4 linked regions of the Schizosaccharomyces pombe genome follow. Changing the gene in region 1 together with any one later gene gives a genetic interaction. Each region holds a gene or a part of one and is shown in the gene's direction. Other genes may lie near its edges.

Region 1 (7,870 bases):
TCTCCGCTCTCAAGAGGGCGGTGAAGGAGAAGAAGCCGAAGAAGAGTAAATTAAGCAGGTGTGACATTCTCTTCTATACATTTCTAAATGGGATTTCTTCATAGCCGCTTCTATCTGCCTAATAAAGAAGTTTGTTTGATTGCATAGTGGTTAATTTTGTTTTGTGAAATTTTAATTATTGTACTTAATGTGTAGATTATAATTATGTAAGATTGTAGTGTCAGTTTATTTCATATGAGTAATATGATGAATTTGTTGTTTGTTTTGTAAAAAAGCTGCTTCAGGTAATAAACGGATTTTAAATAGAAGGTCGTTGATTAAGTTTTTCAGGCTTTAGATGGTAGTTGAGCTTCTACGGATATTAAATGTTAATTACTTCTATCGCTCGAATGGATAATTATTCAAACATCGGAGCCATTGCAATATGCTGACCTTTATTATTTGAAATCCATTATTGTATTAATTATGATATTCCCGTACGTTGCACATTCAGCGCTATTGTAAAAACTGAGTAGGTAATTTTTACTACACCAAAATGTCGATATTATTCGTCAGCTACGAACTTTGATGCTCTAAGTACTTATATTTATCCTTATTATAATAACCTTACCATTTTTTCCTACTACCGTTGTTTTTAATAGTTCCGCTGCTGAAATCACCTTATTGAACATGTGATATATGGCAATGTTGCATTCGTCTCTTCTTATCCACTACCACAAACCTTCTTGAACTGCTATAAAGGAATACACCAGCCAGTTTCTTTGGTCGAGATAGAAAGATTCTTATTTATTTCGTTCGTTTAAACAAACTAAACATAGAACAACATTATTTGCGTCAACACAACATGACTTCACATCAAACTGGGAAAATTGAGGTGCACTGGAACGATCCTTCTTCTGGTATCTTTTTAAGTCAAACTCAACGAACGTCTTCCACATCAAGTTTAAAGAAATCGGCTTCGAGTAGACGTTTGGTTTATGGTGATGACATGCTGGCACCCAAACCGTTAGCTGGTCAAGTACTTAGTAAATCACCACTTCCTCCTTTTTCACCTTCAAAAATTATGAACAGGAGTATATCTGTTCCTCCCACGAATATCTCTGTTCCTCAAATTAGCAGTAATCCTCTCAACTTGATGAAGAAAAGCAGTGACAATGATATCTTTACCACGTTTAACGATACAACAAACGATTGTATGAACGAAGCTTCTTGTGAAGATGTCAGGCACTCCCTATTGCAAATTATAGAAAGTAAATCAAATCTTAGTGATTCTGTTCATAAGATGTTGGGTGAACGAGTCAAAACGAATTTACTATTACAAGGTCAACTAGAAAACATGGAAGGCTTTTGGCTACAAAAATTATCGCAAACATGTCGCTTGGCGTTGACAGGAAACATTAGTGAGGCGAAGGCATTTATTGTAGAAATTATGTGTGCCGGTGTTGTAACTAATTGTGTGCGCTGGTGTCCAGTTTTGAAGACTCTAATTGAAAACCTTGCTATCTAGCTTTACATGTTGTTATATATTTTCTAAATCTTCCTGCTGCAAGTTATATGACACTAATGCTCTTTTTTTCTTAATTCTATCATTTTTAATGATGTTACTCATTTGCATTTTAACAAACCATTTATAAGCATGATTAGCTATGTCGGACGCTAACGAAGTTACAAGTTAAAGGATTTAATAACACTTCCTTTTTGAAATTAGAAGAAATCTTAATAGATATAATGGAAGTTTCCATTTTTTTTACAATATATATTTTTCTTATGGCCTGTCGATTAATAGTATTTTTAGTTTAATTTACTGAAACATTATATTTGTTTTTAGTGAACACCGTAGAATATTTAGGAATTTTGACTAGGTCTGTTTATCATACACACTTAGTATTAGATATCGTGATTTTTTGAATATATGAAAAAAAGTACTACAGACAGAAAATGCAGCGTATTAGCCTCAAGTAATTATTAAAAAAAATAAAAATTTTCTTTTAAAATTATACAGTGTTTACCAAAGTTATGTAAGACAATCAACTGCCGCTTCTCTCTCATTTCTGTTTATATACATCTTTAATGTTTATTACTTATTAAAAAAAAAAAAAAAAAAAAAAAAAAAACAAAGCAAATTACGTGCATTACCAAGAAAACAAAACCGCTCTAAATATTTAAGCTAATTAAAACAATGAAATAACAAATTTATTAACTTGTAACCGTAACAGTGGAATTTATTTTAACTGCTGTCATTTCTAGAATTTCATAAAGGGAGACATGAATAAATTTAACCTTATATTACAAATTGTAAATACGTAAATGTTTATCACAAAATCGAATACTCAAGTCATATTACTATGTACCTGTGCAAGCAACCATTTGTAAACCAAGTACAAAGGTAAACTGCCTCTGTCCGCGGTTGGCGCTCAAAAAGCTGAGCCAAGCCTATTTTTGGCAAACTATTTTTCGTGGGTGATTACGTTATGCATTGGTAATGAAGATAAGGAAGTGGAAGGTATTGAAAGTGGATTAAGAAGAAGTTGGCGCCAAATCTCCAAAACCTGTGCTTTACCAACAACGTTACCTAATAAAATTCATGTAAACAAAATTTCCAAAATTGTCATTCATTTTATTGTTCTCCAAATGTTTTCAATATGGAGACTTTAAAAGCAGATCTTTCGGATATGTCCGATTCCGTATGTCCTTATACTTGATTTGAATGTGTGTATATGTGTTAACAATGTTGATCAGCCTGAGTACTTTGAAACCTTGGCAAACAGGGATTTACCAAGATTGCCTGGAACAAGCAAGCTTCATCGAGCTGCATGTATTAAACGAAAATCTATCAATTTAAGCCTTCCTTCTAACAGTTATTCGCTTTCTTACCGACAATCAGACGACACTGATGGCGATGTTTCAGAATCACAGAGTGAATACAGGTTGAGTAGTGGAAGGAGGTCTCGAGCAAGCTTTGCTCGTGCTTTACAAGATCCCCAAACTCCAAACACTCCTCCCGTATCGTCTCAGCACCGAAGATTCTTTTCGGAGGGCTCCTTCAATTTGCCAAACTCCAACATGAGCCACTCATTAAATGGGGATTCTACAGCCTCTAATAGTTCTACTTTAACCCCTAATCGTATTTATGGGGACCGCAATCGTCAAGATTATGCTCAGTCTAGCCGATATACTTTGCCTTCGTTGCCTAGTTCCCCATCATATAACTGTCCTACAACACTTCGAAAAATACATACAAACACGAGTAGCAATGGAACTTCACGAAGAGTTAGCGGCCTAGGGTCTTTTATGGCACAGAATTCCTCTGAAACTAGCAGTAACAGGACTTCGGCGTATCTACCTGGTAGCTCTACGGATGAACAAGAAAAGCGTTCCAGTGTGACTTTGGCAAGTATGCCTTCCTCTCATTCGTCTACAGCGTCCCTCCTTTCACCTCTTGATACTACTTCTTTTTCTACTAAGTTGGACTCTACTATTTTGGCCTTGGAAACTGATGAGTCTCTCAGCCGAACAATTTCGTATGCCACTACTTCTTTACCGAGCACACCAGGTAAGCGTTTATCAAAGGAATCTCTTGCTATGTCTGAAGCCAGTTCTATCAATCCAGAATATAAGCGTATTAAAAAGCGTGCAAATTTGATTAAAGAGCTGGTTACTACTGAAGCTGCCTATTTAAACGATCTCATTGCGATTCAACAAAGTTATGGCTTGCGGGTCAAAGAATGCAGTGCATTGAATCCAGTTGACGCCCAAACAGTTTTTGGCGATATAGAGTCTTTATTAACTTTTACTGTGGAATTCCATAGTCGACTTTATCAAGCTGGTGAAGGCTCCTGGCGTGTAAACTTGGATACCCAGCTTATAGATCCTCTTCCTTGCAATTTAGGTCTTATTTTTTTAGAAAGCCTTTCTGAAATCGGTCAAATTTATACTGGTTATTGCAACCGTCAAGATTCGGTTTTCAAAATTATCACTAAATGGAGAGAGAAACCTGCAACTGCATCCTGGATTATGGAGGGTGATAAAATAGTTCAAAAATACACGAACGCCTGGGATTTGGGTAGTTTAATAATTAAACCTTTACAGCGCTTACTCAAGTACCCCCTATTATTGCAAAAAATCATTGATGTTACTCCTGAAAGTAGTTCTGAGCGCCCAGATTTGGTCCTTTCTTATCAACTATTACAGGAGTTAATATCTGGTATAAACCAGAAGCAGAAGCCTTCTCATAAGCGTGGGTCGTTAAGTGCTTCTCATAAACGAGACGCTGCTTGGAGTTTACTCTATAAAGCAACATCGAATAAATCTAGGCCCACCACTACATCTACTGAGTTAAAAACTGATGCTCGATTGAATTTTCAACGCCAAGTGCTTCAAGATTTTCGACAACGATTCGCTATATTAAAAGCCTTACATGCTACATTGGAAACGTGGTACGTTACTGTACATCGTGGATTTTCGGTTTTTGAAAAGGTTTTAGCAGAGCTTGAAGGGCTTAGTGCTTTAGAGCCCGAAGACAAGCCGGTAGATACGTGGCGTAAGTATCATTTACTTGCGCACATGATGACTGCTAACCTTCCTTCTCAAATACAAACGTCTTTAAATTCTTCTATCCTTAACCCAATCACAAATATCCTACGAGTGATTCAAAAAGTTATTCAGTTCATTATCAGCGCTGAATTTGTGATTCCTGCTCAAAAGCTTGAGGCAATTTCTACTCTTGTTGAGAAGGAATTTCACAGTGTTGTTTATCATTTTATTGGTATTCAACGCTCTCTCTATGAAAACTACGCTCAAGGTTTCTTGTTTCTTATCCCTCAAGACATGAGGGATAGCATCTTAGAAGAAACGCAAGATTATGCAGAGTTAGTTCGAGCCTTTGAACCCATGCATTATGATGACGAGGTATTGCTGGAGGAATTAATGAAAAGTGTCTCTTTAGCTGCGAGGGTTTAAGAGCAACTTCTTTAGTCGAATATTTTTTATCTGTTCTATATATATACACATTTAGATATACTGCATTCATGTTACTTGAATGATGAAAACGTTTCTCTGGACCATGGTTTTTTGCAGCTTCCATGTATTTAACATCACAATTACATTTATTTAACCTAATATCTGCGTTTGTCTGATTACAATTCGTTTAGGTTCTTTTAACGGTCTTTTTTTGTCTATCACAGAGGCCTGTTAAGTTTAGTTTCAAATTAGGATTCTAAACGCTTTTACGCCTTCCTTTTATGCATCTCATTATTTTTGTCTGCTCAAGTCGAGCTATTAATTATTGTCTTTTCACTTTTTTTTTTTAAACTAGGAACGTTTTGGCTTTTCTGCTGTTATGCCATTTTATTTGTTCATACGCTTCCACTTTTCATTTATATGCTTTAATAATGTATATAATATTTGACTTTCACTTTAACTATGTTTTATGTTTAAAATATGTAATTAGGTTTTGATTGAATTAATTTTGTTCGTCGTTATTTATCCTAGTTGACTAACAAAAACAGGTCAAATTCTTACATTCGTAGTAAAACCAAAACGTAAATAAAAATACTTACGATGAAACAGTCTGGAACCATCCGATAAAGTGCAATGATAAGTACGATAAATAACCTTTTAAAAGTCACACTGTTAATTACGGCAAATACAAATTTATTATACAAGAAACCAAAAAATTTATTTTTATAAAACTGTCTCAATAACCTTCATTATAGGTTAATGAGAACGACGAGAACGGACGGCAGCAGCCAACTGTTCAAAAACGGCGGTAGTGTCGTCCCAACCAATGCAAGCATCGGTGACACTGACTCCATATTTCATACTTGACAAATCATCCTCAGGTATAGCTTGCTTACCTTCGTTAAGGTGAGATTCGATCATGACACCAGTAATTGCTTTCTGACCGTTTGCCACCTGCTCAGCAATACAAGCAGCAACCTTGGGTTGATTCTTATGGTTTTTAGATGAGTTTCCATGAGAACAGTCGATCATGATACTAGGTAGCTTGTTGCATTCTTCGAGTTTAGCCTTGGCACCAGCCACTGAATCAGCATCGAAGTTAGTCCCACTTTTACCACCACGCAAAATAATGTGTGTATCAGGGTTACCTGTAGTAGTAACAATGGCTACAACACCCTGCTTTGTGACAGACAAGAAATGATGAGGGTTGGCAGAAGAATTCATAGCATCTATAGCAATACCAATGTTACCGTCAGTAGCATTCTTAAAACCTATTGGAAAAGAAAGCCCTGAAGCAAGTTCTCGATGCAATTGGGACTCAGTGGTACGAGCACCAATAGCGCCCCAGCAAATTAGATCAGCTAAATATTGGGGACTTATAGTGTCCAGCATCTCTGACGCTATACCGACACCAGTTTCCAGAAGCTCCAGAAAAATGCGTCGAGCGACACGAATACCCTTATTAATGTTATAAGATCCATCCAAATCGGGATCATTAATCAACCCTTTCCATCCAACAGTTGTACGAGGCTTTTCAAGATAGGCGCGCATAATAATATGCAAGTCCTTCTTGTGCTTAATAGCCTCCTTTTGCAAGCGAATGGCATACTCCTTGGCGGCAACAGGATCGTGTAAAGAACAGGGTCCAACGATTAGAAGAAGTCTATCATCACGTCCCGCAATGATATCGGCGGCTTGGCGTCTTTGATCCGACACAAAAGCAAGTGTTTCATCAGAGGCTGCTAATTCTGATTGAATTAAAGCAGGTGAAATTACTGGATCATAGCCTTTGATACGACTATCTTCAGTTTTACAACGTGAAAAAACACTGTCGCCAGGAAGAAGAGGAGTGTGCTTGTCCATCTCTTAATGATTTTCTAACTTGTAGAAGACAAGCCATTAGTATAATGTAGTTCTCAAGACATCTGTAATAAAATTTTTTAACGAGATCAATTTTCGCTACTTTAGATTACGAGTTACAAACTACTGCGCTGTCATAAGTCTTGGACATTATATTTCCAACTATCAATAGAAACTGGTAAACAATATCCTTTTGTAAGCATGTATTATTAAAATGAATGCTTCAATTTAACATTTCGAAGTCTTTTCAAAGTATTAAAGTAAGTATAAACTATTCCTGCTTAACAAAACGACTATCATGAACAAATGCAAAAAAAAAAAAGCATAAGAACGATAACTTTTATTATTAGAAGATAAATTTTATTACCCTAATAAACAAAATAAATTGATTAGGCAATTAGGGATTGACAAAAGATATCAAGCGTCGAGTATGTTTTAACAAAAAAACAATTTCAATAATTAAATGACAAGCCTCTTCAGGTGTTATTTTTATGCTTTTAAATGACCCAAAATGCAGAATTATTGTTTTGATAAATTGGGAACAATTTTATCGATACAAATTTAGAGCAAAATTGGTAAATACATTAAATTTGTCTCGAGTCATTTTCAAAGTTAAATATAACATTTCATTTTCAATGACTTCAGCCTTGTCAGAAGATTTCAACATAGTCTCCCATCCTTCTCGGTCAAGAATCCATACAGCAGAATCTAATTCAGCTACAACTGTGGCATTATAGCATGTCTTACTGAAGAATGGAAGTTCTCCAACAACGCACAAACATGTGATATTTTCAGATAAGCTTTCTCTATCCATTTGGTACGAAGCCTTAACCATCCCAGTTTCCAAAATAACAAGTTTTGAAGGTGTATCACCTTTTCTCCATAATAAGTCTCCTTTTCTCAAGAACGCCTTTTTAAAGAATGGACAGAGCCCAAGCCAAAAATCTTCTCGCTTAGTGGTAATCTCTCCAAACACTTGCATAAGTAATGGGAAAGGTTGTTCGTATTTGGCGTACTTTTCGAATTTCGATAACTCCTTTGTTTCAGCTTT
Region 2 (7,393 bases), on another chromosome or scaffold:
AGGGAGATATGGCAGGTATATAAAAAGGAAACGGCCAAAATTTGGGCTAATTTTAAAAAAACAAAATTCTAATTTGAGAACAAGAATTGCATATCCTCGACAGAAAGCTGGTTCAAAGCCTTTTCGTCTTGATCTATGGTTGCATGTATCATCTGAGCTTTCTTTTCTTGTAGTTCAATAATTTTGCTTTCAATGGAATTTTCAATACACAGGGTAATTACTTTTATCGGCCTTTTTTGTCCAATACGATGAATTCGATCCATTGCCTGCCACTGTACAGCTCCATTCCACCAAGGATCCATCATAAACACTTGAGATGCCTCTGTAAGGTTCAAAGCAACACCACCTGCTTTCAACGAAACTAGAAAAATGGTAATATTAATATCGTTACTGAAAGCCTCAATAGTAGCTGCTCTCGCTTTGGGGGTCATACCACCATCTAGCTTTACACAATTAAACCCGGCTTTTCGAAGTCGCCAATGAATGAGATCTAACATAGAAGTAAATTGAGAGAAAACAATCGACTTCAGTGTTCGGTCCTTCTTACGAAGTAAGTAAAGCTCCTCAACTAATGCTTCAATTTTTGTAGATGAACGCCAACTATTCATATCAATTCTATTCAAAATCGATGCATTCTTAAACTTCTCTTCAGAAAAATCTTCTAAAGCAGGGGCACTAAGATCTATGCTTAAGGGAATGAAACAACTTGGACAGTTGACATTTTCTCCATCACCAGCTGCATTGATATATTCCGTAACGCAGAGTCGACAAAATGTGTGATGGCAACGTGATTCTATAGCATCTTGAGCGACTTCGTCACAAATCTTACAGACGATATTTTCCTGATTTTCAATATCAACTGTTTTTCGTTTGCTAGCTAACACCAGGTCAGGATGATCTGCCATTTGGCGCATTCGTGTAATTAGCTGGAAAATGTTTGCATAATTATTCAAAACGACACCTTCAGCAAGATATGTATTAAATTTTCTTTTTGAATCCATATATAAAGATTGGTATACATCTTCCTCTTCTTCGTTGAATAAATCTTTCCTCACTTCAACGACTCGAGGAGGTAATCCAAGGTCATCAGCCCTCTCTAATTTTGTTCGACGTAACATAATGTGTTTTAATAAAGAATGCACCTTTTTAAAAGCTAGCTTTCCTGGACCTTCGTATCCAAACTTTTGTATTGGTTTTAGCATTTCAGCGTTAAAATAGCAAGTATGACTCATTGGTTTATGGCCGCATTCGTCGCAATTACTTCTATCGGAAAATCTCCAGTGCAGAGATTTACATTCACATTGCAAGCAATAGTAGTAAGCAAAAGGATCTGCCCGTAGGAACCGAAGAAGTGAAAATAATTCTCCAATACGGTTTTGCAAAGGTGTTCCTGAAAGACATATCTTTCTTGTCGTTCTTAAGCCACAAACAGCTCTGGCAGTGTTACAAGTCCTTGATTTGATACCATGGGCCTCATCAAGTATAATTCGGTAAAACTCCATTTGATGAAGTAATGACTTTTCTTTTACAACACCGTTTTTCCTTCTGAATCCGCTGCGTTCCTTCCTGTAAACTGATTCAATTACATTGTAACTCGTTAGTACAACATCATAGCTCGAAAGCTCTTCTCCTGAAATATCACGAGCCTGGCCATAATAAAGATATGTACTCAGTGCTTTATTGGTATGTGTATCAATCTCTTCTTTCCATTGCATAATTGCTACAACCGGAGCAACAACCAAGGTTGGCTTACCTCGAGGTTCTGAAAGCAACAACGCAATTGTTTGAATAGTCTTACCCATACCCATTTCATCGGCCAAGATTCCTCCACCAAAAGAGGAATCTTCTTGTCGTTTTAACCAATATACACCTTCTCGTTGAAAAGGGAGAAGGTTTAGGACCAACTCTTTGGGTTGCTCGATCTGTTTCACTTCACGAGGTGCTTCTTCTTCCAATTTCTCCCAAACATGTTCTAGTTCAGGATGTTGTCGAATCAGACGATAATGGGTTCTTTCATGTGATGGAATTGATTTTGCTTGTGTTCTAGAGGAAGAGGACGCGGAAGAAGAAGCCCTAGCGGATACCCTCCTTCGTTTGGACTGGTAACTTAAAGGGATTGACTCTTCATCACTTTCCGTAGAAGAACTTGGAGCAGCTTCTGGAATTTCTACTTTACTATCAAAAGTTTCATCCTCTTTGATATCAATTATGCTAGCAACTTCATCACTTTCATCATCATCAATAAATTCGGATTCATTAGATTCTTCTGGAGATGACAATGGCACAAACTTTTTTTTCAAATTCGAGGACCTTAATGAACGTTTTCTGGCACTAGAAAAACCTGTATTGGGATTTGCTTCTACATTGTCTGTGCTGCTACCGGTGTGTGTACTGGTATCAGAAATGGATAATGGGGGTGTCGAATGTTGAGATGAGGTGTTGTTTGACTGGATAATCAATTTTTTGTTTGTTGACAGAGGTTCTTCAAACTCTTTTCCGTTCCAGCGCGTTGTCTCCATATCTAACTTGTCGTCACGCTCGACTTGTTGATTTGAAGCATTCCCCTTTGAATCACCATTATCATCTAGAACAAAATGCATATTTTCTTTTCCCTTATTACTATTCGAGTTTATTTTATTACATGACGTCCCCATTTGTGAATGTAAATTGTTTTCAACCACTTCCTCATCTTCACTTTCTACAATAATGCCCGCAATGGGAGAAGATGACCATTCATCTTGATTGCCTGGTACATCATGAATGTTATTTATCTCTGAATAAGTAGTAGAAAATGGAGCCTGCCCATTACTTTGCTCATCATTATTGTCTGCTTGAAGAGACGCCTGAGTAGTATGGTTATTGCGAGTATTTTTCCAATTTATGGAATCAATTGTATCGTTTGAATTAATATCTACAGCTTCATTTTGTAATTGGTCCACTTTTAGAGTAGATATATGCATAGTAGTGGTTGGTATGAGACAAGTTGCCACGCGATCTGAAGCGATTTAATTAAACTCAACCACACTTCCACCTTATCCTCAGCATACTAAGGATTTCTTTAAAATGTCAAGTGGAAGTCGGGTGAGAGGGCCAAATTCTGCTTTAACAGAATTTTTAAGAGTATGTGATGACTCTTTCTTAGCTCGGAGTTACTAATGCATTATTCAGTCTCAAGGTATCAATGCTTCAGCATTAGGACGTGCTCGTCCTCCTCGTCAAAGCGAGGAGTCAGCAGGGCAATCGACTGGGACAGAATCAGAAGTTATTCAAACACCGACTTCTGTTGAAGAAAACAACGAAGATGAAAACTCGATGTCGACAACGACAATTGAGATACCAGTAGTGAAACGACGAAATCTACGAAATCAAAAAAAGAAGAAGAAAACGGATGAAGAAGCTGAAGACAACGAGGACACTTTTTCAATGAATTCAAGAGCTGGGTTTTCTTATAAAGCAAGGGAGCATACGGGCAAACTAGATTTTTGCGCACACTGTAATTGTCGCTTTACAATAACCCCATACAGCAAATACAGCAATTCAGAGAAAGGGTGGCTATGTTATCCTTGTAGTCGTGGTGCTGAAGATCGATCGGTACCTGAATTAAGGACGAGAAAAAGAAAAGCATTGACCCGTAAAAAGGTGGCTGCCGCTACCATGGACGAAGAAATCAGTGTTCCTAAGCTTCAGGATTTGTGTATACGAGTTATTGCTGAATACATAAATGATATCGAAGCTTTTGGGGATATTGGCCAAGTGAATATGGACAAAATTAGCCAAATAATTTCAAAAAACCGCTCTCTTAACGATACTACTGTGAAATTATTCTTAAGTGGGGGTCAAACTGAATTAAAACTATATGATTGCTCAAAGATTACAGCAGATTCACTTTTCCAAATTGCTCAATACTGCCCAAATCTTCAAACTTTGCATCTTACTTATTGTGGTCAAATGCAGGATCAAGTTTTACACTTTTATGCGGATCATTTGACTGAATTAACAGATGTATCTTTTCAAGGTGCCTTTTTGGTTTCTTCCTCAGAATGGATAAATTTTTTTAAAAAACGGGGTTCAAAGCTTATAAGTTTAGAGCTTACGGATACTGCCCGAATTCATGTTTCGGTTATCAACGCTATAGTTGACTGTTGCCCAAATTTGATTAGCCTTAATCTCTCTAGAATTTTCTATCTTGATGATGAATGCGTCCGTCTATTAGCTGGTTGTAGAAATCTTGTCAGTTTGAAGATTGAATCACCAGGCGGCATCATTAATGATGGAAGTATATTAGATGTACTAAACCAAATTGGAAGCGGTTTGCATACTCTTAGTTTATCTGGTTGTACAAAATTAACTGATGAAGTTTTGAAACAAGGTATAGGTCCTTGTTGTGGTCGTCTTAAGCATCTAAATTTAAGTGGTTTGGAACTGTTAACAGATGATGAGGCCTCTATAGTTTTTGGTGAATGGAAGATTCAGTCAGGCTTAGAAACATTGTCCTTAAGAAGGTGTCTGTCACTTGGAGATAAAACTGTTCGTGCAGTATTGGTTAATTCAGGGCATACGCTTCGCACTCTGGATTTAAATGGAATGTCGTTTGTGACTGATGAAGCATTACAGTATATTGTCAATTTTCCATTACCTATGCTAAAAGCACTTGATGTCAGCTGGATTCGTGGAATGAATGACAAATTGGTATGCGATTTTGAAAGCAAAAAGCCAACGCTTGAGAAGCTTTTGGTATGGGGAGATAATCATGTCCTGATGCCCTCAAATCGGTTACTTCTGATAGGGCGTGAAGTTCAATAAGGATGGAAATACTTTCTTTTTCAATTTTATCAAAGGTTTTGGTTGTTGAATTGGACCTGTAATTATTCTTTTGAAAAATTTAATGACTAGTACATTATTTAAATTATCACCTTATTTGATGGACACTAAGTTCCTTGAACAGCCTCAATCTCTTTTTGTGTCTTTCTGATATTATTCTTTAACGAATATTTGTATTTGAAACCTTTTTATTTTTAATTTTATTTATTTATTTATTTTCAAATTAGATGATATGGTCTGCGAACAAATAGCTAACCATTTCTTTGGGTAATGAATTATTTTTTTATTACCATTCCCTCTCTTTACGAATGGATCTCCGAATCATTTTTACACATAATCAAACAATTTAACTACCTTTTTTTAAAAAAAAAATCCCGCTGCTCTTTGTTGTAATACAAATATCAAGCAATGTAATTTTCAATCACCTTGATTTTATATAGCATAAGATTATGAATAGTACACTAATGGTATTGCTTGCCAGACTAAAGAGGTTTACTGCTGCTCGGAAACGCAAAGCTCATCAAACAAACATAAATATTTATCCTTTTTAAACTGCAAACATTCTTTTCAAACTGTAATATTCCAATCGCCCGACAAGTTGGGCATATGAAAAATCAAACAATTGAAAACACTGGTTATGCAAGTCGATTTGGCTATCTCACAATCCGCCAGAAAAGTATGCAAAAAATATATACAAGGGCAAAAAAAAGCAAAAAGCAAGACAAGCGGTATGAGATTAATAATAATATTGAGTTGTAAACCGAAAATATTGATTCTAATGCTTAATAATTCGAGTTTACGACTACGGTCATGAGCCTCACTATAAAGAAGAATTACTTAGTGAGCCGTTGATTTATTATAAAAGAATGATTAAACGTACCTTTTGTTCAAGACTACCATTCTCCATTAAAGATATGCGATTATCTTCCTCTTGATTAATATACATCTTGAAAGAGGCTATCTTCAAACCTGTGAAATATCAATTTATATAGAGCAAATGGTCAGAGAATGAATGGGCTTTCTTCCAGAAAACGAGTTCACTTAAGCCAGGCAGGCCCTAGTCCTTATATACTATCTATTTTGCAGAGCTAAAGGGACGATTGTTAAAGCGGAGATAATGTCAGCAATACTGGACTACTCTATGATACACCATGTTGCGTATTTCTATATGTCACAAGCTCTACATTGTATTATAGATACCCGTTGATAAAAACTATTAGTAAGATTGTAAATGGAGCTTCTACTGAACCTCGTTTCACAGTTCAGTTATGAGCTATATCGGTGACCGATACTAACAGACTTCTTATAACAATAAATATAATATTGTTAGTTAACATACCGCATACCGCTACATTGTAGATCGCAAGTAAAAACTCACCGCAGTTCTATATATCGTTAAAACAGATATCAAACTGCGTAGCTAACAGATAACATACATTTATTTACTCACATATATTCTGGTTAATTATCAGTTTACATATTAAAGAAATGGGGACAGCAGAACTACAACTTTGCAGTCTCAACTTACAAACGATATAAAACATCCTTCATCATTGTATAGTACAACATACATACAAATGAATATTCGACAATGTGTTATAACCAACTCATAGTTAAAAACAACTTTAGTTATGTTGAACTTCCTTGGCTGTGTTGAATAAAGAATTCGCAGTTGCGACTTTTATGTAAACAAGTCATTAAACTCAGTTTCAGAAGCAATTGAAGGGCTTGTTATATATATTATGTGACATAAAGGTTTTTTGAATCCGGTAGAATGAATAGATTGAATAAATACAGTGAACATTTGAACAAGTGATTTAGATCTATTTATGTTTAAAGTGCTTCGCTGATCAATAAGATGAGCGACAAGCGAAAAAATGAGATATGCTGAATTACTTCAGATTTTGTTTTCTTTGGTTATCAAAATTCCAAGCTTACTCGCTCGAATTTCTCAACTATTAATCTATGTGTCTCATCATCGTTCATTCCATTAAAACCAATTGAAAATACGGCTACAACAGTAAAACAATACGATTGTTAAAATTAAAAGAACCCTAGTCAATGCTTAATGCGATCATTGTTTTACGGAATTTTTTAAACAAATCAAAGCTTTATACCAAATACACTACAAGTTTATAACTGATCATACACAATACTCTCTTGTAAGCACACAAAGCGGGATAAAAAGTTAAGTAGATTTAAATATTTAAACATGAACTCTTTGAAACTAAAACATAGCAAAGCTCTGCGCCCGAATAATAAAAATATCAGTCATAAAAAATATGCGAAAAAATTTTTAGACATGGGTGTAAGCAGAACACGAGCAAAACCATATGTTTCTCGCCAGGATCACAACCCACAAAGATACATATTGTTCCACTTTGCTATGTTTTCAAAGGGTATAGGGAATTTCGTTGGCAATTGACTTCTTGTTTACACCAAGTAACCAACAAAAGAGGTCTTTAACAACTCTTCTTCATTAACCCAATCATGATGTTTAACTATATAGTTGTTAACAAAACTGCAAATAAAGAAAGGTTTGTAAATAAGACTTACGGTACGGTTTTGTCGC
Region 3 (7,514 bases), on another chromosome or scaffold:
TAGGAGAATTGCTTAAACGTGCATGATCTGTTTAAATTAATATGATTGAAAGACTTTAGTTAAGAAAAAGCATGTATCAAAGTGTGTGCATTGCATGGCCAACTGTAAACAATGACCAAAGCATGCAATTTGACTACGATGGCAAGCTTCAACTTTCAATTGAATAATTCCTTTCTTATTATTTACAATTCTTACCTGAATATGGAGGCAATGTACTTTCCTCCTCTGAATCATATTCTGGGAGGGGTCCTTTTTCCAAATCAATTTCATGATCTGTCTTCAATTCATCTTCTTCATCTATAGAACTTTTCAAGGAAGTGTAATTATTCTTCGTTTCATCAAGATAATTCTTTATTTAACAAAACACATGCGCGAATTAATTGCTATGATTGCGACAAACGAAACAGCAAAATCAAGAATATTCACTCTGGAGTTCAGTTCCCGCCGTTCAACATAAATAAATGAGCAATAGTCGTTTCAAAGCAAACTGTTTTTTCAATAATAGCAAGTGAAAAGTAAAATTCCAAAACTCATTTTCAAAATGTAATTGCTTCTGACACATTTATTTTGTCACTGCCCTTCTTATTCACCCCAACTTAGATTTCCTTATGCATCATTAAGAAACTCAACATAAAACCAGTATATACGTTTACTGCGTTATTACATACTCACTATTGCAATATGTCTTTAGGTTATTACGATAACAAATCATCGTTCTGAGTCACAATATTTTATTATGCTATTCATTATTTCGTAAACATTGAAATTTGTTTGTATTAAAGTAAACCATTAAACAAATGGAAAAAATGATAATTAAGCTTGATTCATTAAGAATCAAGATGAAGGAGAAATGAATGCAATAAACGAAAATGAAATTGTGAATTTAACAAGGCGGAACAACGAGTTTTCCGATTTCATTAGTTGATTTTAAGTTGTCGTAAACAAGTTAAACCATTATTGTTTGTAGCGTAGAGTATCATTAAAAAAGACACATAATTAGACTCGCATACATAATAAATAAAGACTTCGGTCCTCAATGCACATTATCCAACATCGTAGAATGCATTGGTTGGCAATTTTTGGTAATTGAAAGAATGAGTTAAGCTTATATCTCACAAACTTATAAGGCAAGAGAATAATTAAAGTATGTTGGTGCTTATTTTTAAAAAACGCCGCAGCTTCTCTGCGTTGGTGATTTTGGTAAAGAGGTTTTCCAACTGGAGCGACAACCACATTAATAAAGCAATTAGACTTCGCTTTCAACATCCATTTCTCCCAAGGGAATGTCATTATTATCGTTGGCACCTCTAAACGCATTTCCTATCCGCCCAATTGCATTTCCTATCCCTCCAAATGCATTTCCTATCCCTCCAAATGCATTTCCTAAACCTCCTAGTCGGGTAAGTAAAAAATCATTCATACAGTTGGTTGAATACACATACCTAGGAAAGAAGCTATACCATTCCCGATAAATTTGGGCATCCTTTTGAGAGCACCTGGACGTTCTGGTATGGTTAGAGTAAATTACAGGAATATATAACGAACCCATTTCGTAAAAGAAAAGAAAATTTCCTATAACAAAGAGTGAAGAGGCTTCAATTTCGTAGCCTGTCGCGTCGATATGTTTATCAAATAAATACATCAAACCTTTCGTTACAATAACGACACAACTTTGTACACCCAGCACTTGAAACAAACCAAAAAGCATATGCTTGAGTGTCCAAATTGGAATACAAACTGTATGTTAGCGTTTAGCAAGATAATTTCACTTACCAAGCAATAAAATGAAAAATAAAGCAGCCGAAATACTGCATGTGGAACAGATGAGTGCCTTATTTAAGTTTAGTCTACCATCCTTGACGCAACCAAAGAGTATAAAACAAATGACTACCCATGCGAGCCAGATTGTAACCACCAAATCTTTTTTTGAGTTATACAAACCGACCGCAATTACCTTTACACATTTTGCCAAGAAAACTGCAGTCACCTTTACACATTGTGCCAAGAAAATTACAGTCACCTTTATACATTGTGCCACTGCCTGGGTCCAAGTTTCAAAGAAGCCTAATGAGTTAGTGAATGGACATATTAACAACTTCATGCATAGCTTACAGAAAATAACAATAAACACTATTGGACATGTTATACCAATTGTGACGGAGAAAGCTACCTTGCCGAATATCGACTTCTCCAACGGGTTTACACAAACCCATGCAGTAAAAAAGACAACAATAACTGCAAGAACTGATATTAGTAGTCTCAGAAGGGAATATATATTTGGATGTGAATCTTTGAATTCTTGTCTTCTTTCGACATTGGGATTTGCAATTTCTGTAGGTCCTGTACTTGAATCCTCAGATACAGTTTTAATATATTTCCAAATTTCTGAAAGCATTAATAAAATAAATAACTTTTGAAATTTGGTTTTTTTTTTTTAAAATGATGTAGAAGGAAGAAAGTGTGTGCCCTGTTAGACGAATTTATGCTCGTAATATGTCAAGTTGTAAACAAACAAATACAACAAAAACATTGTAAATCAAAACAAACAGACACAGCAAATAATCCTTGACACACTCAATTCTTTATCTTATCCACCAACAACACAACACTTACCTGAATATGGAGGCAATGTGCTCCCATCTTCTGAATTGTATTCTGGGAGAGGACCTTTTTCCAAATCAATTTCATTATCGTTTTTTGTACTCAATTCATCCATAGACGACCTCAAGGGATAATCTTTATTCTTCATTTCTTAGAAACAATCTATTATTGAATGATATACACACAAATAGTTCAATTGTTGTGATTGCGACAAACGAAACAGCGAAATCAAGAATATTCACTCTGTAGTCCAATTCCAACCACTTTAAAGACTTTTTAACAAAATAATAAAATTGTTCAAACAAATTTCCAACTAATTCCTTCAAACAATGGCATAAAAAAAGAAGAACGAAAAAACTGAACGAGGCAGTGGATTGCTTCTGACACATTTATTTTGTCACTGCCTTTTTTATTCACCCCAACTTAGCTTTCCTTAAATGTAAGCTACGCAGTTTGGTATCTGATTTACGGATACGTAGAACTGCGGTGAGGTTTTTAGTAATTTCAATATAGCGGTATGCGCCCTGTTAACTAACAATATTATATTTATTGTTATAAGAAGTCTAATAGTATCGAATACCAATATATCTAATAACTAAACTGAGGAATCGAGTCAGCAGTTGTTATCAACGGGTATTCATAATACGGTGGTTAGCGTGTGACATATAATGATACATAACGTAGTGAGTCATAAAACACGCTAAACAGATACCAAACTGCGTAGCTGACATGACACTGAATTTCTATCACTCTTTAACAACTACAGTGGAATATACAGTTAGAACGTACATTTTGCGTTGCTTTCACGAATCCCCAAAGTTTTAAAAAACAATGGCTATAAAAGTAGAGTTACTGTAGGTGTCATATTTTATTACAATTGGTAACCTATTATTGTAGAGGTGGGCTTGACTTGCTCTTCAATAAGCAGAAAGCGTTGTCGTTGTCACTTTCAAACCTTGGCTCAACTAAGTTGGGATCATTGATTGATTATATGGCTCAAATAATAGAAAAGCCTTCTCAAAAAGATTTATTTATTTTAAATGGGACTGTGTAAGTGAACATGGAGTGGTATCATCTTTTTCAGGCTCAAACGATGTTTTAAATGATTTTGCAGAACTAACACTTCCCTGCAGACGTCCGGGGATCATCGTCTTAGTAAATGACCAGGATTGGGAACTTCTTGAAAAGGAAGAATATAACCTCGAAGAAGGTGACGAAGTTGTATTCGTCTCAACGTTACACGGTAAAACAATATTTAGCATTTTTTTTATAATATTTAAAACTAATTGTATCAACTAGGAGGTTAAATGGCAGGTATAATTATAAGACAAAACAAACATGCACAAATATCATTAGTATTGAATTTTTTTTTTTAGTCATAAATCCGACATGTATGCTAAATTTTAGTGTCTTATGCTCTAGAGACCCAAAATCCAAATCACAATTAAATCATTCATCATGAACAGAAACCATAGACCAGGTTAAGGTTACTTGATTTCTCGGTATAATTTTTTCTTCGTTAGAGTTGAGTAATTATGATTCTTCGTCAGAGTCTAGTTGTATTGTACGAGTTCGCCGAGCTTGCCGACGTGGATAGCTTGCAGTGAATACCTCGGAATAGGGTTCAAGATCAAATCCTCTATTCTGGCTGGATGATTGTGAACTACGGAGGCCTGTTCCATTAGTTACAATATTTCCTTCATCCTCATCTGATGAGAATGGATGTTGCCTGGAATGAATATTGTTATGAGAAGGAGAATTATTTGAGGAAGAATTGAGAGAATCCAAACTTTCATTCTGAATGTCAGCAAGCTCTCTTCGTAACTCATCGTATCTTTGCCCATCGTTATAACAGGTCTCAGATCGAGATACCATATTCGTCCCTCCAGAGTCGCGCTCTTCATCGAAGCCGTTCATAATATCAATCTCTTCACTATCTGTGCTATCCAAAGCAGTAATACCATTTCCATTACTTCCATTGACAGGAGCTACGAAGTCATCGTCACTTTCGACAGGAGATAATTGGCTTGTAGCACGATTATCTATAAATCCATCATCAACATCGTACTCACCTGGACCAGAAAAATCAGATTCTAAATCAGACCCCACAAATTCTTCTCCTTCGTCAAATCTCAGCCAATCTTGTGGTACTGCAGTTATTGGCGCATGTCCCATATTATTAAATGCGCGGTTAGTCGAGATATTCCCACCACGGGTGTTATCGCCATTTAGGCTGGAATCACTCTCAGCATTTTCTCCATCCCAAAACCATTCACGACCAGAATCTTGGTCATCCGATATTTGAAAACCGCAATGATCGCAATGGTACGGATTTTCCAATTCCCATTGGCAACGAGCGCATCGTAAAACTCCATCTTCAGAATCAACAAGGATACTTCTTGGGTAATGAGAATCTTCTTGTTTAAACATCCCATCAAACAATACCTCCTTTTGCTTCTTTGCTGGATTTTCATTGATTCCCACAAGTGGGAAGCCACTGTTTGAGGCAGCAACCACATTCATTATTTCATATACAAGATATGCTGGTGAAGGTTGTGTATACAGTTTTTGGCGACAAGTTGGGCAAGATTTTGACTCTTTTAACCAATTTAGAAGACACTATTTATTAGTTTCAATCCTTTATAGAAAAAAAGTAAATCTAGAAACTTTTAAAGATATAATCTTGCTCTTTCAATATTTCACTCACAATGAGGGAATTCAATGATAATGAAAAGTTATTCCAGTGTTAAGCATCAAATTTTCACTTACCTCGTAACAATATGTATGACCGCAATGAGTGGTAAAAGGTCTTTGTAAAGCTTCTGTGCAAATGGGACATTCCAGAGTTTTTTTTATTTTCTGGAACGTTTCGAGCAAAGTTTTTGTATCGGGGATTTGTTTTTTATTTTCTGAATTACTGCTAATGCGAGACTTTTTGTACATTTGAGTTGCATCACTAGACGCAAAAGTTGTGCTGTTGGATTGTGGAATTAATAGAACCTCCATTTTCTCATCGTCCAAGTTATTATTATAATTTTCTTCATCGTCTTCATCCAAAACTACTTGGCGATGAGAACTGCGTTTAACCATTGCGCCCAGACAGATAAATTACTATTGAACTTGGTATGTGAGCTCTAACGTTTCTAATCCGGAGAGAAAGCTTTATCAAAATAATAAGTTTAAATAAAATCCTTTAAAAAAACGAATTATATGCAAATTCTTCAAAGCAAATCAACCATTGATTTGTACTTTATATATTTCTTGTAGATGGCAAATACTCTGCGTATTGCAATGCAGCGGTTTACAACTGCATTATCAAATTCTTCTGGTATTATCATAAATATCATTTAGTGACTTGTAGTCAGTGTAATCTCGGGCATATGTAAATTTATTTAACGTTACAAAATGCGATTGCGTTCAACAAGCATGGCTAATAGCGTTTTCTTGTAGCTTGGATTTTTATGAGGATTATTCACAGATACGCACCGATGGCATTTCACGTATAGTTTTAAGTATAATATTTTCAACCATAGCTTTCAATGTTTCACTCTAAGTAGAATTGAACGTCTCCCGACTTAACTCGTAAATATCGTTGATTACTTACCGGAAACCTTTTTTTGCATCGTTCTAACCAGGTAAATAAATTGAACGAATGCTATTCAAAAACATTCAAGGATTAAATAACATATCAACAATTAGATACTACGCTTATTTACTGTTCAGCATACCTTTCTACTCAATGTCTACAATTCGCAATACACAAAACGATATGTAATAGCACATTAGAAATAAGGAACTGTTTAATTTTTGTTAATCCTTAACGAAAAAACTATCAGCATTTAACTAAATTATCTGTTTACATTATTATTAAAATTATAATGCAATCCCTGCCAGTTCCTCATCAACGCCTTTCCATAGTAATAAGGACCGGGCCACTCATAAAAACATTACCAGTTAAAAAGCATGCACACCAACTTAATATTAATATCTCTAACAGAAAGGACGGAACAGTTTGAATAACAACGACAAAGGAAATGCAAATAAAAAATAACTCTCAAAGTTGGCACAGCCAAAATCCAATTATACAATTCGATTTTAATGAAGGATGAATCAGCAAAAAACACATACTCATTAAAAAGAAATAACATTTAAAAACTACCGATTCGTGTAAACCGAAAGCATTGCCATTTTCGGTCAACAAACTTATGCGTAGCGATCTTGTTCATCAACATAGTTAGACTCAGGCTTAGCACGGCCTTCAGAAGAAGAGGTAGAAGATGTAATGTCGTTACTCGAAGTATCCTCCATACCCTCATTGTCAACGTTTTCAAGATGAGCGGCACTTTCACCTTGAACACCACGAGATTTTTCAAGAACCTCTTGTTGTTGCTTTGCAGCTTGTCCGAGATTCTCGGGCCTAGGCATCCAGGGCTTAGCGCCGGAGAGATACAGTTCGTTAATCTCTTCCAAGGTAAGACCTTTGGTTTCATGGGCAAACAAGAAAATAATACAAGCAGCACACAAATTACAGGCAGCGAAAATATAACCATACTTGAATCCAATGGAGTCACTAATGAAGGGAGTAAAGAAAGTAATAAGGAAACCCCACAACCAGTTACCAGTGGTAGCGACGGCAGCACACTTGGAACGATAACGAATGGGATACGATTCACCAACGATAACGTATGCGGCAGGACCCCAAGTTTGAGCAAAACTGAAAATGAAAAGACATGAGAACACAATCATAACGGCACCGGCACGATGGTTTGAGGTACCATTCTTACGAGTAAGAGCACGATTACCAACAGCTGCGTAAATGAAGAAAGTAATGGATTGCCAAACACCACCAATAATCAATGGCATACGACGACCAAAGAACTCTAGGACGAAAAGACCACCAAACGTACATCCAA
Region 4 (7,510 bases), on another chromosome or scaffold:
TATTGGTAGGCTAGTACAACGAAATAATTTCCTTCAACGTCAAAAAAGGCAAAGATGATATATTTCCAACCGTGACGAAATATCATTTCAAAATACTTTTTAAATCCCATACGAAAAACAGTGTATGGTGTGTACACAAGAGTTAGCAAAGCGTAAACCAAGAATGTTTGAAAGGCAGGAATATTACTGATGCCAGACATGTATCCATTGAATGTGTTGGTCGCAGTAATGCACAGAGAGAGAACCTGACCAAGGAAAAACACAATCCAAAATCTTTTATCTAGTAGAAAATAAAGGGGTTTTGCCTTTGGAGTTGACTCCACCTCTTCCTCGGCGGCTGGTACTTGAGAAGCAGGAAGGCCAATATCATGTTCAAACGGTGGTGGCTCAATGGGATGAGAATCAATATTTACGTCTAGTTTTTTGTCGATAGAGGGTCTCTCACTCTTGATTTCTGAACCATTAGAGCTTTGCCCCTGAATGAATGCGCTACCATACTCAGAATCGGCGGCAGCAATTGAGGAATTATGAGTGTAATGACTTTTATCGAAGTCAGAAGTACTGCTTTCCTGGTATGACTCTACAATACCTAGCGGGTCTTGTGAAGTTTGAATTTCTTCATTCAAACTACTGGAGTTATCGTGCTGGCCCTCGTGACTTTGCACTGGCACGTGTATCGAACCGTCAACCATTCCTATCTACAGATCACTTTTCAGTAAAGTCACTGTTTATGGAATGTTGTTTCAAGAAAGAAAAAATTGAAAAAACAATAAAAAAGTGAGAAGGAGAGTTCAACATCGCATGGAAAACCTCTTTCAGTGCTGTAACCTGGCGTGACTGCCCAAGTAACAATGTGAGATATAACCATGAGTAAAGTTAAACGAATGTATAACATGCAAAAATTAACAAAGCTGAAGCGAAAGCGAAGGCTTTTAGAGCTAAATGCTTGTACATTCATCGTTTCCAAATGCAGTAGTAAATTAATAGTAAAAGCTCGACTTTTGAAATTAATACCTGAGTTGGCTTGCTATTCTTTGTAGGGGGGCCGATTTTACCCAACATGTGCTAATTTTAGTGAAGAGAGAAATCTTCCAGCTTCTAGATGAAATGAAATAAAAAAGCGAGTAAGAGAGAAGAAATGTGTTGCTTTTTTTTATTACAGCACTAAGAGAAATTCAATGAAGATGGGATGAATGTTATGGACTAGTATTAAATATAAGAATCTCGACGCTAAAAAAATACTGTTTGTTAGAATACGTAAAAAGACTTTGTATAAATAACTTAGGGAAAACTAGCTTGATTTATGTAGTATTCTATCCCTCTTGTAGAAGTGTGTAAGACATAAATATTTAAATTAATGGGAATCGATATTTTGGGGTTCATCCCAAATGAGCCGGTAACGTAGAAAACGAATCAAGATACTAAACTTGTAAACACATGTATAAACAATTAAAACAGCTAAGCATGTATCACGAGTATTAACGATTTGGTAAATGTTAAGACAGTTTATTATGTCCGGTCCTCCTGTTTGCTGCTACGAATATTCAAGAATAAAGAAGCAAATGTCAATATGATAAGTGAATGTTTCTCTAGAAAAGATAGAAAATAACTAAGCCACTTGTTATCAGACATACAGTACGTGAACATAATCAAGCGTATGACTGAACTATGATTTTGGTACCTCCCTTCCACAGCATAAGCTTCTCCAAGATTGTTTAACTTTTTAGAAATTAGCTCCGATTCAGTTGGTTAAATCTAGGCTCTTTAGTTTGTCTTTTAAGCAACTCATATACAGCTTATAATATCAATTTATTATAGACATATCAATAACACTTATTGCTCAAGTATTTACAAGCCATCAAAATTAACGCATCCTTAAATCTGTAACAAACTGCGTAACTGCAAGCTAACATACTGTAATTTAACGATCAAGCTCTTATGTAGACTTTACGTCGTTCCGAACTCATTAAGCTTGCTAGGGGTTTTAACGAAATTGCGTTATGTCATTCTGTGTAATAAAATTGTCACCACCATTCCTGAGATCACTCATCTATCATAGCAGTCAAAAGCATGCAGATGATCCATTGGGATATTAGAAATTGCCAAGCCTTCCAGTTCATTTCCATACGAGGCAAATGAGGAGAAACGAGACTTTTCTTCTCTAATATTGATCTATTCAAGAGCAATTTAGTCACAAGTTCTGATCATCTGTTCGTACTTGAATATGTAAACATTACAATAAACGGAACCAAAAGTCAAAGCATGCAAAGCGAAGTGAATTTAAACAGTTCATTCCTTATTAAAAGAACTGCTTGTCCATATTTTTTGACAAGAATATGCTTCTTTTAAGATAGACAGCAAATAGGCGGTTTTAAGGTTGATGCAAACATAAATCATGTTACAGCAACTACTTTTAAGGCGTAAAGTTTACCTTCATAGTTGACAGTAAATTATTTTTATCTTTCTATTTTTGAAAGCAAATTCGTAAGGAGAATAATAATAGTATTATAAACACCACTTGATCGCAGTGCTGCGTCTAGAGTGTTGATTAAAATATGACTCAATTGCTTCGACACCTCCATAGGACTACTTTTACTCAATAATCTGTAATCATCGAGTATATTTAAAGTAAGAGAATAGCCTCCATCCCCGCTTTCCAAAAACGTATACATATAAAGTGCATCGCATACGCTTGAAATTAACTTTTGATTCAGAAATCTTCTCGTGTCTAATCCTTTGTCCTAAAAAGCCTAATTTCGTGTATCTTATACTGCGAAGCAATACAGAAGATATTTTCTGGAAATAATTGACTCTTTTCCCTTCCAATCCATATACGAGGAATTTTTGACATTAAATTCCACTTTTAGAACCATTCTATTCTTTCTCTTTCCTTGCTACCACCATCCATTTCTAGTCATTCAGTTCAGGTTTTTTAGTAAACCTTCTTGTTAATTGGTTATAACATCGCTCTTTCATTGCTTAAAAGAGTAACTTTTTAAATCACCGTACCTTCCTTGCAAAGTTAACCTGTATACATCCTTCTGTGAACCCGCAACAGACCATTTTATTTTTTTAAATAAAGCATAGTCTCAAGTTCCCTAACATTTGATTAAATACCGATTGCCGATTAAAGCATTCCGACATTTTTGTTTTCATCAGATTATTCAAGTAACGAGTTAAGTATTTTTTACCTCGTTCACACATTGACTGCCTTTTTCTTTTTTGCATTACTTTTTTGACAATCTCGATAATCTTTTATTAATCCAGCCTTCATTTTCAATTCCTTTTTTTTTTTGAAATTCAAATTCTCGTTGACTCCTCACATCGACGACATAAGCAAATTCCGTTCTCTCACTAGGCCTATTGACCGATTTGAGCATTTTAAACAAGCATTGTTTGTCTATCTCTTTTTTGACTTCTGCATACCTCAGTCTTGTTACCTTGAACGTTATATTTTCTCTGTTTTTTTATCGAGGTAAACAAACAAAAAAAAACATATTTTATAGTATCCAATCAAAAAAAACCACTTTTTTTAATTTTTCATCTACAAACAATAAATAACTTTCAAACGAAAGAATTTACTGTTTAATATTCTGTTGATTCCTTAACTTCTTGGAGGATCTATTTATAAAACTGCTGCCTGCGACGATTCAAATCGAGGTGTTCCCAATCAATTTGTAAAACAGGTGTTTTCTTTAATACTTTTGGTTCTATTTTGCATTTTCTGTTTCTAGTACCGCCACGTTCATTTATTAATTATCCCTAATTGAATAATGAGTCAACTTTATGCTTTAAACGGACAACCTCTAGCAGGGAAATCTGATGACCTGGCAAATAAACTTGCCGCCTTCGGATTGTCTCAACCTAACCATAGTTCTCTTTCAGAACAACAATCGACCAACTCTTTGCTTCATGGTTCAGGAGCATTTAATAAACCCCCACTGTCCAGGAATTCAACGACAAATCCGCTTAATTTATTATATACACAAACACAGCAACCTGCAAGGTCGACAACTCCTTTTCTGCTTAACCCAGTAGGATCAAGTCCTGGTAAATTGCCCGTGCCTTCAAGGAACAACTCTTACTTACAGGGCACTGCGGAGTCAAACTCCGGTAATTTTGCAAATAATTCAATTAGCAATAATTGCTGGAATTCCGCATACAATTCTAACAGTTTCGAAGGCACAGGCAGCTCTCCAAATTTTCCACCCCAAAATCAATTTCTTTCAGATAGTCGATCTTCAATTGCAACGCTAAATGCCATCCCTTCGTTGGATCAAAGTGTTCTATTGAATCCAAATCTTCGGGCTAGAACACCTAGCTTGGTACCGGAACATTACTTTGATGATACCGACAAATCAGTACATTCTAAAAGTAGTTCTGGATCTAACTCCCTTAGTGAAGCTTCAAATGATGATTTAGAATCTTCTATCATTCAAATTGTTGGTGGCTTGCCGGACGATTTTGATGATAGAGAGCTGAGTGGAATTTTCACATTCTGCGAAGGATATGATTTTTCAAAAATCGAAAGTGAAAATGGGCACCGAAAAGCTATTGTATACTTTCGGAACGCAATAGCTGCATTAAAGGCAAAAAACATGTTAAACGCGTCTTCTACAAACAATTTCACCATTATTCAAAGGGATGTTGTAAGGCAACAAGAAAATGAATATCACAAGGGCATTCCACCATTGACTACCCCAAGTTTATATTCCCAACGCCTGTCAAATAACTATGACTCAACAACGCCTGGGTTTCCTCGGTTTTCACCAGCAAATTTTGATTCTGTCATCAATAAGGACGTTACTTCAGAATCACGAATGTCCACCTCGTATCCAGCGGTATTGGAAGCTTTTAAATCGTTCAACCCAATAAAGGCTCCTAAAGCTGAATATCTTAATCAATCACGAGCATCAATGGGAAACCCTTCACCTTCAAACTGGAATAATAGGCTATTACAGCCATCTTCTAAAGAGCAAGCCGTATATTCTTTCCAAACGCAGAAAAATAGCAAAGGGCTTCAATTTACAAGCAATGAATTAACAAACCCCACAGCCAAATATTCACAGTTGCCAAACAATATTGCTAATATTGGTGAATCTAATTCTTTATCAAATCAGCCGAATAACTTTGCACAAACGTCGTTCGATTACCAACCTAATCATCCAAATGCAATTTCGCCCAAAGCAAAGTTTTCTTTACCTTCAAGACCAAGTTATCATAAAGACAACTCTTTTATTTCAAAACAAGCTATCGATAAATCAAATCCTTTTGAAGAGGCATTGCGATTAGAACGTACGAGCCCTGTTAAAGAGCTACCTGCTATAAGACCACGTACAATTCCACTGAATGGTGTTGCCCCATATGAAAGTGAACTTAGGCCGCCGCCCAAGTGGAAGCCTATGCCAGACCTTAAAGTAGTCCGTTCACGCCCGTCATTAAAACAACGCCCTTTAAGGAGCGCCGAATATGTCCGTGTTTGTGAATTAAAATGCCTTCAGGAAGAAGAATTTGATAATAAAGTGCTATTGGAACAAGTAGAGTCCAATGTGCAAACTGATCATAACTCACCCTGTAACACAATTTATGTGGGAAATTTGTCCAACCCAGACCAAGAGAAAAAGCTTAGGTTGGCTTTTTCAAAAGAGAAGGGGTATCGGAGACTATGTTTCAAAATTAAGGGAAACAGTCCTATGTGTTTTGTAGAATTTGAGGAAGTTTGCCATGCTGCGAAAGCAATGGAAAAAATGCAAGGTGCTGCATTAGACGATAAAATTAAAGGTGGCATTCGCTTAAGCTATTCCAAAAATCCACTTGGTGTCCGCTCCACCGAAAACCTTTCAACCACAGCATCCCTTTTTCAACAACACGGCCCTCCGAAGAAAAGCACGGACTGCTACTCAGCAAAGGCATCCGCTGCTGTTGAACGAAAATACCATTTTCAAAATATGACTCCAAAACCAAATGGAACCAACAGTGTCACCACACTAAACAGGACCCAAACTCACTCGTCGGAAGTGAACGATTTGTTTGATATTTTTGAGTTTCCTAGCAAATAGAAACGGTGAGTTTTTCTTCAATAGTCAACACTATTGAAAAGAGCACGCTAAGGCTATGTAAAGAAAATGACTCTATTTCTATACAAAGTCAAAACGTTTGATTTTTAGTTTTAACATTCAGAATCAGTTGCATGACAGAATTATTTTATCCTTTGTGAAAAATTCCACAATTATTGAGAAAAAAAATAAAAAAATAATAATAACTAGCATAATTAATAAAAAATTTGGTTGAATTTGGTAAGCAATTATTGAAATTCAAAGTAACATGCTGTCAGCCTTCACTAAGCTAGATTGGAAAAAACTTGATCTCACACTTTGGTTGCAAAATGTAGAATAAAATTTATAACGCAATAAAATTTAACGACGTCTTCCATTTAAAGTCGAATTAACGATTTATGTTTGTTAGTTCGTCATGGTTTAAAAGTTCGGAAAGAGTTTTGAATGACAAATGCTTCCGTTTTTTAGAAACACCGAGGGTCATTATTTTGTTTGATAAGATTTGTGTAGAAGTAGTGTAAATACCATAATATGAGCAAATCAAATGCATCCAATATCGAGCGAAGGCTGTTGCTTTCGGATTGCTAGGACAATCAATTAACATATAAATTCGATAGCTTCTCTGCGTTTCCAAAAAAGAAGACGTATCAATTTCTGCTTTAATATTAAAGCTTTCCGAAGCATATATCGCTGGTGAATGGTCGTGGTCATAAGCATAAAGCTTTTCGTTCATAATATTATTCAAGCACTCGTCCAACAACAACACTAGTTGCAGAGAGTTGTAACATTTGATTTCATGTCTAATCCTTTTAACAATGGATTTATGGTGATTGTCGTTAAACCTCTGGTTCGATGATGATGTTAGCAATGAAGATATATTATTTACTCCATCCTTGTAAAACTCATCTCCAACGGTTAAAAAACCAAAAGCTGGTCTGTGGGTAAATAAATCCTTATAAACGACCTCATCAGGATCATCCGCTGCTTGCTTTAATATATGCAAGTCTGAGAGTCGATATTAGTAAATAGTTTCAAAAATGCGAACAGCGACCCAAAACATACCATTAAGGAAACGATTCTTTTTCCTCGAACCGATGTTTCTCTTGGAATCAAGGTTCCTTCTTTTCCATGAATTGTCATTGTCAATACTTTTAACAAAATCTAAAACACGCGCATCGGATCCACAGTTACGAGCAGAAATGGATTGGAACGACTGTAGGTTTATCCTTCTGGTTGAGAGAGTTAGTGGAACATGCTTTGAGTCGGCACTAGAATAAGCATCCGCGCAATGCAATGTATTTGAAATGAGAACCATCGTGGCACACGACAGCAACCAAATGCCGATTTCTCTTTAGATAATAGAAAGGAACTTGCGGAATCGTTACACTTCAATAAACTAATTTCTCGAGCCCTAACGAATCACTTGTGATGAATAGTGAGGCACGGTTCAACTC

The links.
Region 2: mutations in gef1 (region 1) and rhp7 together harm fitness more than expected from each alone (negative genetic interaction), as found in Schizosaccharomyces pombe (one large-scale study listed by BioGRID).
Region 3: mutations in gef1 (region 1) and urm1 together harm fitness more than expected from each alone (negative genetic interaction), as found in Schizosaccharomyces pombe (one large-scale study listed by BioGRID).
Region 4: mutations in gef1 (region 1) and mde7 together harm fitness more than expected from each alone (negative genetic interaction), as found in Schizosaccharomyces pombe (one large-scale study listed by BioGRID).

What each region holds. Positions count from the first base shown.
Region 1 is NC_003424.3:467,672-475,541, reverse strand, and holds gef1 (RhoGEF for Cdc42 (Gef1)), read left to right. Parts: upstream 1-2,551; 5' UTR 2,552-2,642; coding exon 2,643-2,684; intron 2,685-2,739; coding exon 2,740-4,959; 3' UTR 4,960-5,561; downstream 5,562-7,870. Other genes in the region: rps901 (40S ribosomal protein S9), read left to right, coding at 1-49; SPOM_SPAC24H6.08 (uncharacterized protein), read left to right, coding at 845-1,507; SPOM_SPAC24H6.10C (phospho-2-dehydro-3-deoxyheptonate aldolase), read right to left, coding at 5,716-6,822; vsb1 (sulfate transporter), read right to left, coding at 7,367-7,870. UniProt on the Schizosaccharomyces pombe protein: Has a role in the control of cell polarity and cytokinesis. Involved in bipolar growth, via modulation of cdc42-shk1-orb6 signaling, and septum formation. Stimulates guanine nucleotide exchange of cdc42.
Region 2 is NC_003421.2:102,617-110,009, forward strand, and holds rhp7 (DNA repair protein), read left to right. Parts: upstream 1-3,063; coding exon 3,064-3,120; exon of another isoform or gene 3,121-3,168; coding exon 3,169-4,803; 3' UTR 4,804-5,232; downstream 5,233-7,393. Other genes in the region: rhp16 (ATP-dependent helicase), read right to left, coding at 69-2,960; SPOM_SPCC330.19C (uncharacterized protein), read right to left, coding at 5,389-5,641, 5,702-5,721; SPOM_SPCC330.03C (cytochrome b5 reductase), read right to left, coding at 7,255-7,322, 7,378-7,393. UniProt on the Schizosaccharomyces pombe protein: Involved in global genome repair (GGR) via nucleotide excision repair (NER), in conjunction with rhp16, after UV irradiation.
Region 3 is NC_003421.2:219,953-227,466, forward strand, and holds urm1 (ubiquitin-like protein modifier Urm1), read left to right. Parts: upstream 1-3,381; 5' UTR 3,382-3,432; coding exon 3,433-3,455; exon of another isoform or gene 3,456-3,498; coding exon 3,499-3,651; exon of another isoform or gene 3,652-3,734; coding exon 3,735-3,844; exon of another isoform or gene 3,845-3,900; coding exon 3,901-3,908; 3' UTR 3,909-4,134; coding exon of another isoform or gene 4,135-5,220; 3' UTR 5,221-5,370; coding exon of another isoform or gene 5,371-5,691; 3' UTR 5,692-5,807; downstream 5,808-7,514. Other genes in the region: wtf meiotic drive antidote Wtf4, read right to left, coding at 1,247-1,392, 1,443-1,505, 1,546-1,737, 1,774-2,064, 2,113-2,385, 2,614-2,749; ubiquitin-protein ligase E3 Dbl5, read right to left, coding at 4,135-5,220, 5,371-5,691; hexose transporter Ght8, read right to left, coding at 6,805-7,514. UniProt on the Schizosaccharomyces pombe protein: Acts as a sulfur carrier required for 2-thiolation of mcm(5)S(2)U at tRNA wobble positions of cytosolic tRNA(Lys), tRNA(Glu) and tRNA(Gln).
Region 4 is NC_003421.2:152,133-159,642, forward strand, and holds mde7 (RNA-binding protein Mde7), read left to right. Parts: upstream 1-3,773; coding exon 3,774-6,059; downstream 6,060-7,510. Other genes in the region: SPOM_SPCC320.08 (transporter), read right to left, coding at 1-692; SPOM_SPCC320.06 (uncharacterized protein), read right to left, coding at 6,445-7,061, 7,119-7,371.